Anolis sagrei: one gene and its partner. The protein of the gene in region 1 purifies or fractionates together with the protein of each later gene. This does not show direct contact. Links are inferred from orthologs where the notes say so. Each region holds a gene or a part of one and is shown in the gene's direction. Other genes may lie near its edges.

Region 1 (7,628 bases):
TCGAACTGCTAGGTTGGCAGAAGCTGGGCTAACAGCTGGAGCTCATCCTGCTCCTTGAATTCGAACCGGCAACCTTTCGGTCAGCAAATTCAGCAGCTCAGTGGTTTAACCCACTGTGCCACCGGGGGCTCCCGGTAAATAGTTAGAAGTTGGGAAATGCATTTCCAAAGGGCCATAACGTCAAGTGAGGATGCAGTGGTCACATTTTTAGTCCTACTACTTAGTCTCCTTACAAAGTGTTTCTTGATGGAGGATTCAGACACTTCATGTACCATGCCATTATTCCATTGTCTTCTCCAGCCAGCTGAGTAATTAGACTAGACCTGAGAAGGCATATGGCTGGGTACCATTGCTCACCTTGCTTTGATGCTTTATAAGAGTTCTCTCCCTTCGGCTTTTCACTCTAATCTTCCTAAAACTGGAGGGATTAACTGCACTGTTCTGAGGTCTCCAGATACTTTCCTGCAACGACCCAAAACATTCCCATGCCCTGCCCATGTCCCATATCTTTTACCTCATAGTTGTGCCAGGCTTTTTCTTTCATTTCTGTGTGCCTATTACTGGCACACAAACAGGATTCTTTGTTTTGCTGCCAATTTTTGGTCATTTTCATTCTTTTTTTTTTTTGCTCCTTTTGTGTGAGCACTAATCATATACAGACTTGGTGCAGGCTTTGTCAACTGAGGCTGTTCAGGTGTTTTGGACTATCAATCCCATCACTAGCAAGGTGAATAGTTGACTATGATGAAGACTGTAGTCCAAAGTATCTGGAGGATGTAATTTGAGGAGGCTGATCTGCACATTTATGTCTTCAAGATACCACTGCGGGTATGTATGACAAAGACTGAATACAAGGATGTCATCAGTTTGCCTCTGGTTTTTGGGAATGCACTCTTGTTATTCAGTGTAATTAATGGGTTGTTTCCACTGTGCCTGTAATTTTTAACCCTGCCCCCTTTCCTCTTGTGTTTAAAAATATTTAAAAAAATAAAAAGTTTCAAATTCTATTTACTAAGATTTAAATTAAACTGTGTTTTGAATAAAAGTGAACAATGTCTGTGATGTATCTATTTATCTATAAATTGGTATTTCACTGCCTCTTTGGGAATGAACAAGGAGATTGGATTGGAATTCACAGCCAAGTATGTATTTTCTAGAGATCCTTGGATAAGTTCGGATTTAGTTATCAAACTGTGAAATGAAAACATTAATAACCTGGCATCACAGTTGAATTATGAAGGTAACATACAATATTCTGAAAGGAACATAGCTGTACAAAACATTTCTGTAACTTCACTAGGTGCATTTCTGTAACTTCACTGAATGGCTCATATTTGGAAGTGACTGGCAATCCATACCGTATAAGAATGCAAAGCCTCTGTTGGGTTACAACTCCTAACAGCCTCAGCCAACACTGTCAACAATGAGGGATGAATAGTCTGAAATCAACACTTGGAGGTCTACATATTTCCTCCACCCTACAATGAAAGATACATCAGGCATCCTTGGAGATTCATAGCCTAGTTAATCAGGATATGCATGCCAAGGGATCCTTATGGCACCTTTGAGATTAAGGCCACATATACACTACTACAGTATACAATGCAGTTTCAGACTGCAGTTCAATGGCATTGAAGTGCATTATATGGCAGTGTGGACTCAAAAAACCCCCGTTCAATGCAGTTAAACTGCATTCTGAAACTGGATTCTATTGCAGTGTATATGGGGGCTAACTCAAAACATTGGTAGCATAAGCTTTTGTGGATCAAGGCTGCATCAACACTGCAGAAGTGCAACAGTTTGATACTGTTAGGGAAAACTACCCAAAAATATAGCAGAGCATCCAAAACACAAACAGGATACTTAAAGTTGAGCAATCAGCCCACAGCAAGCAAAGCATGAAGTTGGGTTGTTGTAGATTTTTTCGGGCTATATGGCCATGTTCTAGAGGCATTTTCTCCTGAAGTTTCGCCTGCATCTATGGCAAGCATCCTCAGAGGTAGTGAGGATGCTTGCCATAGATGCAGGCGAAACGTCAGGAGAAAATGCCTCTGGAACATGGCCATATAGCCTGAAAAAAACTACAACAACCCAGTGATTCTGGCCATGAAAGCCTTCGACAATACAAAGCATGAAGTGCCATGTGATGTGGCTGCAAGGAATTTAGAACTTATGATGCAAAGATGCAGAATCTTGTCTTTAAAAAAAATCACAAAAAGTTTAACTATATTTCTTAAAAGTAAAGAACTGGGTCTGAGCTACTCTTAACACCCATCTCGTCTAAGGTTTCAAAGAGAGGGAAAAATCATCAACCACTACATCTCTCTTGACATACAAAGATCTCAATACACACAGCATATTCAAAGATGTAAAAGTAGAAGGTAAGGTCTTCAGTAGAAAAGTATAAATTATACACAACCAATTTTAGCAGAAACAGAGGAGAGCACAAATAGTTACATTCCAACTGTCATATAAGAGACTTGGGGGGGGGGGGGGGGAGGAAACCCTCAGCCTATTCTAAGTTAATTTTTCCTCGTTGAGGACTGGAGACTTAGGCAGTGTGGGGTTGAATTGCCGCAATGCTATGGAATTCTGGGGTGTGTAGTTTAGCAAGGTATTTTTCTTTTCTTTCAGAGAGCTCTGGGGCTACAGCAAACTACAATATCTAAGATCCCATAGGTTGGAGCTGTGGAGATTAAAGTGGTGTCAATCTGCATTCATTCTACAAGTCCTAGTAGCACTTTAGCACAATTAACACTACTGCACACCGTACTTTAATCCCTACGCCCCTCCTATCATTTCAGCACTTTTAACCTTGTACCCCTCTCGCCGGCCGAACCAGTTTTAATATGTCTTGATGTATTGTTATTGCTGTCTTGCCAATTTTTGATTTTGATTTGCTTTTTGATTTTGATTTGTTTTGTTATTGCTTGTTATGTTCTCTATTGTATTGTGTTTTGTGGCTTCGGCCTTTGTAAGCCGCATCGAGTCCTTTGGGAGATGCTCGCGGGGTACAAATAAAGTTAATAATAATAATAATAATAATAATAATAATAAATGCACCCTTAATTTATTCCATCAGAAGGCACAAGATTCCTTTGGGTGTCTCCTATCTTTGTAGTTCTCCATATTTTAATTATGCAGAAGTTAGGTGTTTTTAAAATAATCCGTTGGATTGAGGTGGTGGAGGAATGTATATTTTATTTATATTTGGAGAATTTATATTTTCTCCATTTAGTAGCATAAACGACAGGAAGTTGCCCTTCTAAGATCCAGAAACCGGAAATGCTTAATTCATTTGGGGGAAAAGCAATGGCACCAAATATGAATTAAGCTAATGAAATAAAAGGCTGAATGCTTTTGGGAGAATATAAAAATAAATTATATATTTTTATATTATATTTTCCATTACTTCCACCACGTGGTGGACTGGCTCCCTTTTGTGTCCAAATTTCTCCCAAAAAAAAAAAGAGACCCAAAGCAATTAAAGGGCTGGGTTGCTGTGAGTTTTCCGGGCTGTATGGCCATGTTCCAGAAGCATTCTCTCCTGATGTTTCACCTACATCTATGGCAGGCATCCTTGCTGTGAGTTTTCTGGGCTGTATGACCATGTTCCAGAAGCATTCTCTCCTGATGTTTCACCTACATCTATGGCAGGCATCCTTGCTGTGAGTTTTCTGGGCTGTATGACCATGTTCCAGAAGCATTCTCTCCTGATGTTTCACCCACATCTGTGGCAGGCGTCCTCAGAGGTTGTGAGGTCTCTTGGAAACTAGAGAAATTGAGTTTATATATCTGGATGTTGCAATTGGCCGCCTTGATTCGCATTTAATGGCATTGGAGTTTCAAGGTCTGGCTGCTTCCTGCCTGGGGGAATTCTTAGTTGGGAGGTAATAAGCTGGCCCTGATTGTCGAAGGCTTTCATGGCTGGAATCACTAGGTTCTTGTGGGTTTTTTCGGGCTATAGGGCCATGTTAGAGGCATTTCTCCTGACGTTTCGCCTGCATCTATGGCAAGCATCCTCAGAGGTAGTGAGCTGGCCCTGATTGTTTCTTGTCTGGAATTCTCCTGTTTTTGAGTGTTGCTCTTTATTTTGATTTTAGAGTTTTTAAAATACTGGTAGCCAGATTTTGTTCCTTTTCATGGTTTTCTTTCAGAAATGAACAAAATCTGGCTACCAGCATTAAAAAAACTTTAAAATAAAAAAACAGGAGTATTTCTCAGGATGCCTGCCATTGATGTAGGCGAAACGTCAGGAGGGAATGCTTCTGGAACATGGGCATACAGCCCGGAAAACTCAGCAACCCAGCGATTCCGGCCATGAAAGCCTTCTACAATACAGGGTTAGTCAAAATGCATAGGCCAATAAGCCATTCAATTGAATGGCTTATTGGCCTATGCATTTTGACTAACCCTGTACATTCAACTAAAGGGCGTCTGGTGGAAAAACCCAATAGCCCCGGAACCAATCGTTCGCTTTCCCTATTGTCAACATAACACAATGCAGGGAGGAGCCAAGAGCATGCGACACTCGAACACGGGCAGAGGAAGTGACGTTGGGAGGAAAAACCCGAACCTCTCCGGAAAAAGCCGAAGATGCTTTACAGGCGGGAGTGAGACGAGGCGGAGCGACCGCGAGGACGAGAATCGTGAGAGGAGGCTCTCTCGAATATAGCCGAACATTTCCGTCAGCACACGAACCTTTACGGAAAAAGCCGAAAAGGGAGTGACCGAAGTAGAGACGCGCCTTCGCACGCAGCCGAGCCTTTCCGTAACCAACCGAAGCCCTTGCCGGAAGTTGCCGAACTCAAGGAAAGGCGCCGTTGCGGCCTACTGCGTGAGGCGGCGGTGAAGCAAGCGGGCAGAAGAGCCAGGCCGGGCTTGAGTCTTATTATTCCGTCGCCATGTCCGACTTCGACGAGTTCGAGCGGCAGCTTAACGAAAACAAACAAGGTAAGCGAGCGAACGAGAGAGAGAGAGAGAGGTGGGCAGGGCGTGAGGGCGTCGAAATCCCGCCTGCTTCGGACGCGCCCCCCTTGGTGAGAATGGAAGGGCCCGTTTACCTGAGGCGGGCGCTACCATATGGCTGGGCCTATGCGGCGGGGGAGGGGGGGCGGGTATTGTCCTTCTTGTTAGCCAACTTCGCCTTTCTCCTCTTTCGCCTGATTTCCCGGGAGGCGAGCTATGGAGGCAGGCATGGCCGTTGGTGGCTCTGCGCACGCCTTTAACGGGGCGGGAGAAGGGAAGGCCGGGCCTGGCACCATCGCTCTCCCTCCTGGCGCCTTTTCTTTACTCTCTGGGAAGAACAGGGACAAAGGAGGGCCTTGATCTGGCTGATTGGGAGATTGCCACGCGGGAGTACACCACCAAAGTACTCCCGACAGATGGCCACCTGCTTAGAAACCTCCACAGCAAGCCTGGACCAACTTGGGCCTTCCTCCAGGTTTTTTGGACTCCAACTCTCACAATGTTCTCTCGAGGAAGTAGACTACAGAGTCACGCTGGAGGATCCAGCATGAGAAAATCTCTCTAGGTCCTCCAGTGCATTTCTGTGGCCAGCTTTCAGCGGAATACGACCACAGAGTTGTGCTGGAGGACCTAGAAAACCCCTAGAAAGATTTTCCCGGGGGTCCTGTCCATCTTACCCCAATAATAATAGTAATAATAATACCTCCAGGTTTTTTGGACTCCAACGCTCACAATATTCTCTCTAGGAAGTTGAGTATAGAGTCATGCTGGAGGATCCAGCATGAGAAAATCTCTCTAGGACTCTCTAGGTCCTCCAGTGCATTTCTGTGGCCAGCTTTCAGCGGAATATAACCACAGAGTTGTGCTGGAGGACCTAGAAAACCCCTAGAAAGATTTTCCCGGGCGTCCTGTGTGTCTTACCCCAATAATAATAATAATACCTCCAGGTTTTTTGGACTCCAACTCTCACAATGTTCTCTCTAGGAAGTTGACTACAGAGTCATGCTGGAGGATCCAGCATGAGAAAATCTCTCTAGGACTCTCTAGGTCCTCCAGTGCATTTCTGTGGCCAGCTTTCAGCGGAATATGACCACAGAGTTGTGCTGGGGGACCTAGAAAAACCCTAGAAAGATTTTCCCTCAGGTGAGAAAAAATTGCAATTTTTCAATTTTATTTATTATTTATTTATTTATGGCATTTATATCTCGCCCTTCTCACCCCGAAGGGGACTCAGAGCGGCTTACAATATATATTTTCATACAATATATTATATTATTAGCATAGTACAATATCAGTATATATTACTATATTGCACAATACCGTTATATTGTAGTATTATTAGTAATATTACATGTAATGTAAATATATAATTATAATTATAATATTGAATTATTATTACTAGTATTATATTATATTACATTATAATATTATAAATATTATATGTATATACAATATACTATATTATATTATTAGTAAAGACAAGATGGAAGTGTCTTCTGCTGCCTTCTGTCTTTGCTCTGGCCAGAACAGCCGTTAGTGCCAGAAGGGGGAGGGGCCTCTCAAGTGATGATATAGGCAGAAGACAAGATGGAAGTGCCTTCTGCTCCCTTCTGTCTTCACCTTTTGCGGGGGTCCTGTGTGTCTTACCCCAATAATAATAATAGTAATAGTAATACCTCCAGGTTTTTTGGACTCCAACTTTCACAATTTTCTCTCTAGGAAGTTGACTATAGAGTCACGCTGGAGGATCCAGCATGAGAAAATCTCTCTAGGACTCTCTAGGTCCTCCAGTGCTTTTCTGTGGCCAGCTTTCAGCGGAATATGACCACAGAGTTGTGCTGGAGGACCTAGAAAAGCCCTAGAAAGATTTTCCCTCAGGGGAGAAAAAATTTGCAATTTTTCAATTTATTATTATTATTATTATTATTATTAACTTTATTTGTACCCCGCTAGCATCTCCCGAAGGACTCGATGCGGCTTACACAGGCCAAGGCCTCAATAAAAACAACAACATAACAATACAATGATGTCCTTGGGGAGGGTGTTCCAAAGTCGGGGGGCCACCATAGAAAAGGCCCTGTCCCTCGTCCCCACCAAACGCGCCTGCGACGCAGGTGGGATCACGAGCAGGGCCTCTCCAGATGAACGAAGGGAACACGTGGGTTAATAGACGGAGATGCGGGTGTCCTGTGCATCTTACCCCAATAATAATAATAAACTATTTGTACCCCACTACCATCTCCCCAAGGGACTTGGTGCGGCTTACATGAGGCCGAGCCCACAATACATCAGCAAAAACAACAATAGCAATACAAACAATCTGAAACTCAAAAACAAAAAACAGCAGTAAACATTAACAATAGCACAACAACACATTAAAACCTATGGCTGGGCCAAATGTAATAATTTTTTTTAAAAAAAATAATGCTGAGCATGACCAGGTGAAATATGTAACTAGGATAGAATTTCGGAGAGGAAAGGGGTGTGAAGACAATCCTAGAACATTGATAAAGTGCATTTAGGGACATATTGCTAGGAGTTTCCTTATTCTGGGAAGGCACACTAGAACAGCCATGTCTTCAGGCTCCTCCTAAAGACTGCCAGAGTTGGGGCATGCCTGATGTCCTTGGGGAGTGAGTTCCAGAGTCGAGGGGCCACCA
Region 2 (7,464 bases), about 60 Mb from region 1:
ACGTCAAGTTCCCGCAACCATCCCCTCAGACGCCGAATGGATTGGGGTAACTCCGCCCCTTCAAAAAAAGGAAAACTCTTCTTTGCACCAACGAGGAACGGAGTGAAAGAGCAAGGAGCGTTTTGATTGGCTCGGCTTGGCAAAAAGAAATGCCTCACTCAGAACTCCACCCCTGGTTTTGTTTCCAGCCACTAGAAACGTAGCAGGCGGAATGTAGAATGCAATTGGGGAAAAGGGGTCGTCAGGCAGGGCCAGTGGCGCAATGGATAACGCGTCTGACTACGGATCAGAAGATTCTAGGTTCGACTCCTGGCTGGCTCGGCTAAATTTTTTTCTTCTGTGAAAAATTAATATTTTCATTTAATGAATCGTGTTGCATCAGTGTAGATTCTCTGGGAGTTCCAGTTTGGAAAAATGGATGGTCATAACCATTTTTCTCCGAAAATAAAAAACAGCTTTGCAGTTTGCTGGTTATATAGGAATTTGACATTTCAAATCCAAACCCTCAGATTTTTCTCCTAAACTCCTTCTACACTTCGACAATACATCCTTCTACACTGCCATATAAAATCCAGATTATCTGCTTTGAACTGGATTATATGTCAGTGTAGATATAATGCCCATTATCTGCTTTGAACTGGATTATATGAATTTTCAATTATATATAATCCAGTTCAAAGCAGATAATGGGCCTTACATGCGTTGAATTATCTACAGTCATATAATCCAATTTGAACAGCATTATAATGGTAAATGTAGACTCATAATGCAGATTGAACCTCATTGAACTGGAATATTTATTTATTTATTTACAGCATTTATATCCCGCCCTTCTCACCCCGCAGGGGACTCAGGGCAGATTACAGTGTACATATATGGCAAACATTCAATGCCAATTTGACTTACAACATGGATGAGAGCTAACAAATTGAAATTGAATCCAGACAAGACAGAGGTCCTACTAGTCAGTCGTAAGGCCGAACAGGGCATAGGGTTACAGCCTGTGTTAGACGGGGTTACACTCCCCTGAAGACGCAGGTTCGCAGCTTGGGAGTGATCCTGGACTAATCGCTGAACCTGGAACCCCAGGTCTCAGCGGTGGCCGGGAGAGCTTTTGCACAATTAAAACTTGTGCGCCAGCTACGCCCGTACCTTGAGAAGTTGGATCTGGCCACGGTGGTCCACGCACTTGTTACATCCCGGATAGATTACTACAACACACTCTTCGTGGGGTTGCCTTTGAAGACTGTTCGGAAACTTCAATTAGCCCAGCAGGAGGCAGCGAAATTACTCACCGGAGCGTCATACAGGGAGCATACCACCCCGTTATGTCAGCTCCACTGGCTGCCGATCCAGTTCTGAGCACAATTCAAAGTGCTGGTTTTGACCTACAAAACCCTATACCAGTGTTTCTCAACCTGGGGGTCGGGACCCCCAGGGGGGTCACAAGGGGTGTCAGAGGGGTCGCCAAAGACCATCAGAAAACAGTATTTTCTGTTGGTCATGGGAGTTCTGTGTGAGACATTTGGACTAATTCTGTACTTGGTGGGGTCCAGAATGCACTTTGATTGTAGGTGAACTATAAATCCCCGCAACTACAACTCCCAAATAACAAAATCAACCCCTCCAACCCCGCCAGTAGTCAAATTTGGGCGTATTGGGTATTTGTGCCAAGTTTAGTCCAGTGAATGAAAATACATCCTGCAGATCAGATATTTACATTACGATTCATAACAGTAGCAAAATTACAATTATGAAGTAGCAACAAAATAATTTGATGGTTGGGGGTCACCACAACATGAGGAACTGTAATAAGGGGTTGCGGCATTTGGAAGGTTGAGAACCACTGCCCTATACGGTTCCGGCCCAGCGTATCTGTCCAAACGCATCTCCCTCTACGTCCCACCTCGGAGTTTAAGATCTTTCGGGGAGGCCCTGCTCTCAGCCCCGCCTTTATCACAAGTGAGATTGGCGGGGACGAGGAGCAGGGCCTTCTCGGTTGTGGCCCCTTACATATGGAATTCACTCCCCGGGGAAATTAGATCATCGTCATCCCTCCTCTCCTTTAGAAGGAAATTAAAAACATGGATTTGGGACCAGGCGTTTGGGCAATCTGGCAGATAAATAAAGGACAATGACGATTGATAGGAATGGAAAATGTGGAATGAAGCTATGGACTCTGAGTTGCGAACGTTGAGCATAAGATTGTTTTTATTGACTGTGATATATATTGATTGTTCTTAACTGTTATAACTGTTTTTAATTGCTGTCTATATCTTATCTGTATTACTATTTTGTAAGCCGCCCTGAGTCCCCCCTCGGGGGTTGAGAAGGGCGGGGTAGAAGTACACAAAAGAAAGAAAGAAATAAAACATATACAGACATAGACAGAGGCTATTTAACTTTTTCTGGCTGCCAGGGGAGCTGTCGCTTTCATCGTCCATCTGTGACACTGATGAAGTACTTCCGCATTCCCCGCATGCTTTTTTGCTGGAATGCTTTGCTGGAGTCTTTTTTGTGGCCTCGTAAATTAGCTAATTTAGCCTCCCCACACTTTAAGGTGGTACCTAATTTTCCTACTTGACAGATGCAACTGTTTTTCGGGTTGCAAAGGTTGACAACAGGCTACACACAATTGGTTGGAAACCCACTCCAACCCGGGCTGGCTTCGAACTCATGACCTTTTGGTCAGAGTGATCTTAATGCAGCTGACACTCAGCTAGCTGCGCCACAATCCCGGTTATAATCCAGTTCAAAGCAGATAATGGGCATTACATGCTTTGAATTATCTACAGTCATATAATCCAATTTGAACAGCATTATAATGGTAAATGTAGTCTCATAATGCAGATTGAACCTCATTGAACTGGAATATATGAGTCTACCAGTGTTTCTCAACCTTCCTAATGCCATGACCACTTAATACAGTTCCTCGTGTTGTGGTGACCCCCATCCGTAACATTATTTTCGTTGCTACTTCAAAACTGTAATTATGCGACCATTATGGCTCGCAGTGTAAATATCTGATATGCAGAATGTATTTTCATTCACTGGACCAAATGTGGCACAAATAGCTTATATGCCCAAATTTGAATACTGGTGAGTTTGGGGGGGGGGGGTGATTTTGTCATTTGGGAGTTGTAGTTGCTGGGATTTATAGCTGACCTACAATCAAAGAGCATTCTGAACCCCACCATCAAAATTGGGCCAAACATTCCACACAGAAAATACTGTGTTTTCTGATGGTCTTTGGTGACCCCTCTGACCCCCCTTCGTGACCCCTCCTGGGGTCCCAACCCCCAGGTTGAGAATCACTGGTACACTGATATAATCCAGTTCAATCCACATTCTGTGGCAGTGTAGATGAGGCCTCCTTGTGTTACCATGATAGAGCCAAGACCAAACCCTGATCTCACAGTGTCTGAGTCCAACATTCAAACCATGACACCACACAGTCTAATCCCAGACATTTTGTGGATATGCAAAATTGTGGATAATAGTGAATCATTTTGGAATGAATGCCTTCTTGCCCAAGAAGGCATTTGTCATTTTTAAAGTTTTTGTCCTTTTTATTTTATTTATTTATTTACCTTACTTATATACCGCTGTTCTCAGCCCGAAGGCGACTCACAGCGGTTCACAACAAATACGAACAGCAAAAATTCAGTGCTACAGTATAGAAACAGTTAACAACCTAACACATTACACGACCCATTCACTGTCGTCTCGTCATCAAAAATATGTTCCAGATTCGTCATCCATTTTTCCATTCCAGTGTTCATTAACCAATCATTGCACTAATTATTCGAACGCCTGCTCAAACAGCCAGGTCTTCACTTTTTTGCAGAATACCATTAGAGATGGTGCTAGTCTAATGTCCGTAGGAAGGGCGTTCCACAGCCGAGGAGCCACCACCGAGAAGGCCCTATCTCTCGTCCCCGCCAGCTGAGCTTGAGAAGCAGGCGGGATCGAGAGCAGGGTCTCCCCGGAAGATCTCAAAGTCCTGGTGGGTTCATAGGCAGAGATGCGGTCGGATAGGTAGCTTGGCCGGAACCGTTTAGGGCTTTAAAGGCCAACGCCAGCACTTTGAATTCAGCCCGGTAGCAGATCGGTAGCCAGTGGAGTTGGCGTAACAGCGAGGTTGTATGCTCCCTGCATACAACCTTTTTAAAAAGAGACCCAAAGCTTAACAATACAAAAAAAATACACAATTGAAAACCTAAAACATATCCACATAATTAATCATAGGGTTATTAGAATAAATAATTAAATTCACTGATGTTCAAGTGCTATAGTTACAGTGCATTATGTGGCAGCATAGAGGTGAGTCTGAGATATACTGTTTCCTCTCGTTTCCTTTTCTGCGCAGGCGCTCTAGCCATTCTCCCTACTGTATTATGCCTTCCTATCCGACAGGTGGCGCTCATTCTCAGCCCCCGCCGCCTTTTTCTCGTTCTCCTTCCCTGGCCGGAAAGAGAAAAGAGGAGACGGAGCTTCCGCTCATTCATCGCGCGCGCCCTGTGTGTTGGGAGTGCGTTTTCTTCTCAGCGAGTAACGGACGCGGCCTAGTCTCCGTGCTCAATTTTTGGTGGTTTATTCCTCACTCGCTTAAGCATTTTCGGCCTACACTTTTGCCGCCATGAAGCTCGTGAGGTAAGGAAGCGGGCTTTTTGTCAGAAGCCACGCGGGCCAAGCCTGGGGTCCTTGCTCTTGGCCTGCAGGCCTTTCCTAATGGCTCCCCACTGAGTTATTTCCCATGAATTTAGCATGAATGGGCATGGATGATAATAGTGGGATTTCCCACCTCCTTCTATTTCTTGTTTCTTCCAAAATTGTGTCACTCTTCATAGCTCAGTCATATTCCAAACTCTGATATAATCTCATATTATTATCTATCTATATAAAAATGCTTTGTGCATAATGAGTACCTTAAAAACAAAAGAACGAATGAACGAAATCGCACCAAATTTGGCAACGAAACGTCTCACTACACAGGGAGTGACCATCACTCAAAAATTATGATTTTGTCATTTGGGAGTTGTAGTTGCTGGGATTTATAGTTCACCTATAATCAAAGAGCATTCTGAACCCCACCAAAGATGGAATTGAACCAAACTTGGCACACAATTCTCCCATGACCAACAGAAAACACTAGAAGAGTTTGGTGAGCATTGACCTTGGGTTTTGGAGTTTTTTATTTATTTATTTATTTATTTATTTGGAGTGTTTCTACCCCGCCCGTCTCAACCCCCTAGGGGGGACTCAGGGCGGCTTACAAAAGGCACAATTCGATGCCTAACAATTCACAAAATACAGTACAATATACAATACACAAATTTACCATATAATGTCAACAGTTATAACTAATTAAAACAATCAAACAGTATACTAGCAGCAATAAAATCATCTTGTGGTCAGTGTTCGCCAATTCATAGTTGTAGTTCAGCTACATTTAGAGAGCACTGTGGACTCAAAGAATAATGGATCTGGACCAAACTTGGCACGAATACTCAATATGCCCAAATATAAACACAGATGGAGTTTTGGGGAAATAGACCTTGACATATGGGAGTTGTAGTTACTAGGATTTTTAGTTCACCTACAATCAAGGAGCATTCTGAACCCCACCAATGAAATTGGGCCAAACTTCCCACACAGAACCCTCATAACCAACAGAAAATACTGTGTTTTCTGGTAGTCTTTGGTGACCCTTCTGACACCCCCTCGCAATTCGCCCCCAGGTTGAGAAATGCTGCCTTAAGGCCATCCAGTCCAACTCCCTTCAGCAGAGCAAGAAAACATAAAGCCCTCCTGACAAAGAGCCATCCAGCCATAGATGTAGATAAATATATATAATTCACACACACACATGTCTATGTCAGATATAGTACCATAGATTTGAAAGGGACCCCTAAAGAAGGACAATTAAATGTTGCATGTTCCAGAGTAGGCAAACCAGACAATCTCCACATCAACACTGGCAAAGAAACAGCAAGATATACTGTTTACCCACAAGCATAAAGAAATTACATATATTAGAAACCAACACTTTCTCATTACTTTATTTTCCAGATCACCAGACTGGGCCACAGCAATGCATGGCAGGGGACCGCTAGTATTATATATAATATTAATAAAGTTGTACTATAATATATTCTATATCATGTATACTATAGCTTACTATATAATACAATATATTATATAATACTAATAGTATAATGTACTCGTAGTGCATTAGTTATATTGTGGTATAATATACTACAATGTAATAATACAATAACTGTATATTATATATTACATGTAATATGACTAATATTGCAGTGTTGTGATATAGTGCAATATAATATATAATACTAATCTGCTATAATCGAGAAAGGCAGGGAGTTTCAGAAAAACATGTATTTCTGTTTTATTGACTATTCTAAAACCTTTGACTCTGTGGATCATAATAAATTGTGGCAAGTTCTTGGTGGTATGGGCATACCAAATCACCTTATCCCTCTCCTGAGGAATCTGTATAAGGATCAAGTAGCAACAGTAAGAACTGACCATGGAACAACAGACTGGTTCAAGACTGGGAAAGGCGTATGGCAGGGTTGTATATTCTCACCCAGCCTATTCAACTTTTAAGCAGAACACATCATGTGATGTGCGGGGCTTGAGGAATGAGGTGAAAATTGCTGGAAGAAACATTAACAACCTTAGATATGCAGACGACACCACTTTGATGGCCGAAAACAAGGACAAGCTGAGGAGACTTCTAATCAAGGTGAAAGAAGAAAGCGCAAAAGCTGAGTTGCAGTTAAACAAAAAAAACCAAAATTATGGCAACAAGAATGATTGACAACTGGGGAGTAGAGGGAGAAAACGTGGAGGCAGTGACAGACTTTGTATTTCTAGATGCAAAGATTACTGCAGACGCAGACTGCAGCCAGGAAATCAGGAGATGCGTACTTCTTGGGAGGAGAGCAATGACCAATCTTGATAAAATAATGAAGAGTAGAGACATCACACTGGCAACAAAGATTCGCATAGTTAAAGCAATGGTATTCCCCATAGTCACCTACGGAAGAGCTGGACCATAGGGAAGGCTGAGCGAAGGAAGATAGATGCTTTTGAACTGTGGTGTCCATACTTCAGGAAATAAAGCCTGAATGCTCGTTGGAGGGAAGAATAGTAGAGGCAAAGATGAAGTACTTTGGTTACATAATTAAAAGACAGGAAAGCTTAGAGAAGACAATGATGCTGGGGAAAATGGAAGAGAGGCCAACCAAGGGCAAGATGGATGGATGGTATCCTTGAAGTGACTGGAATGACCTTGAAGGAGCTGGGGGTGGTGACGACCAACAGGGAGCTCTGGCATGGACTGGTCCATGAAGTCACAAAGAGTCGGAAACAACTGAATGAATTAACAACAATCTGCTATGCTAATAGTACATTATATATACATGTATTGATAATATT

The links. Proteins that work in one complex are often made in the same cells at the same time.
Region 2: the proteins of U2AF2 (region 1) and SNRPD1 fractionate together in Homo sapiens (co-fractionation; 3 studies listed by BioGRID, with this or other methods). This does not show direct contact. The link is inferred for Anolis sagrei from reciprocal best matches to the Homo sapiens genes U2AF2 and SNRPD1.

What each region holds. Positions count from the first base shown.
Region 1 is NC_090026.1:17,873,523-17,881,150, forward strand, and holds the start of U2AF2 (splicing factor U2AF 65 kDa subunit), read left to right. Parts: upstream 1-4,602; 5' UTR 4,603-4,904; coding exon 4,905-4,953; intron 4,954-7,628. UniProt on the Homo sapiens protein: Plays a role in pre-mRNA splicing and 3'-end processing. By recruiting PRPF19 and the PRP19C/Prp19 complex/NTC/Nineteen complex to the RNA polymerase II C-terminal domain (CTD), and thereby pre-mRNA, may couple transcription to splicing.
Region 2 is NC_090026.1:77,913,418-77,920,881, forward strand, and holds the start of SNRPD1 (small nuclear ribonucleoprotein Sm D1), read left to right. Parts: upstream 1-4,459; 5' UTR 4,460-4,639; coding exon 4,640-4,653; intron 4,654-7,464. UniProt on the Homo sapiens protein: Plays a role in pre-mRNA splicing as a core component of the spliceosomal U1, U2, U4 and U5 small nuclear ribonucleoproteins (snRNPs), the building blocks of the spliceosome.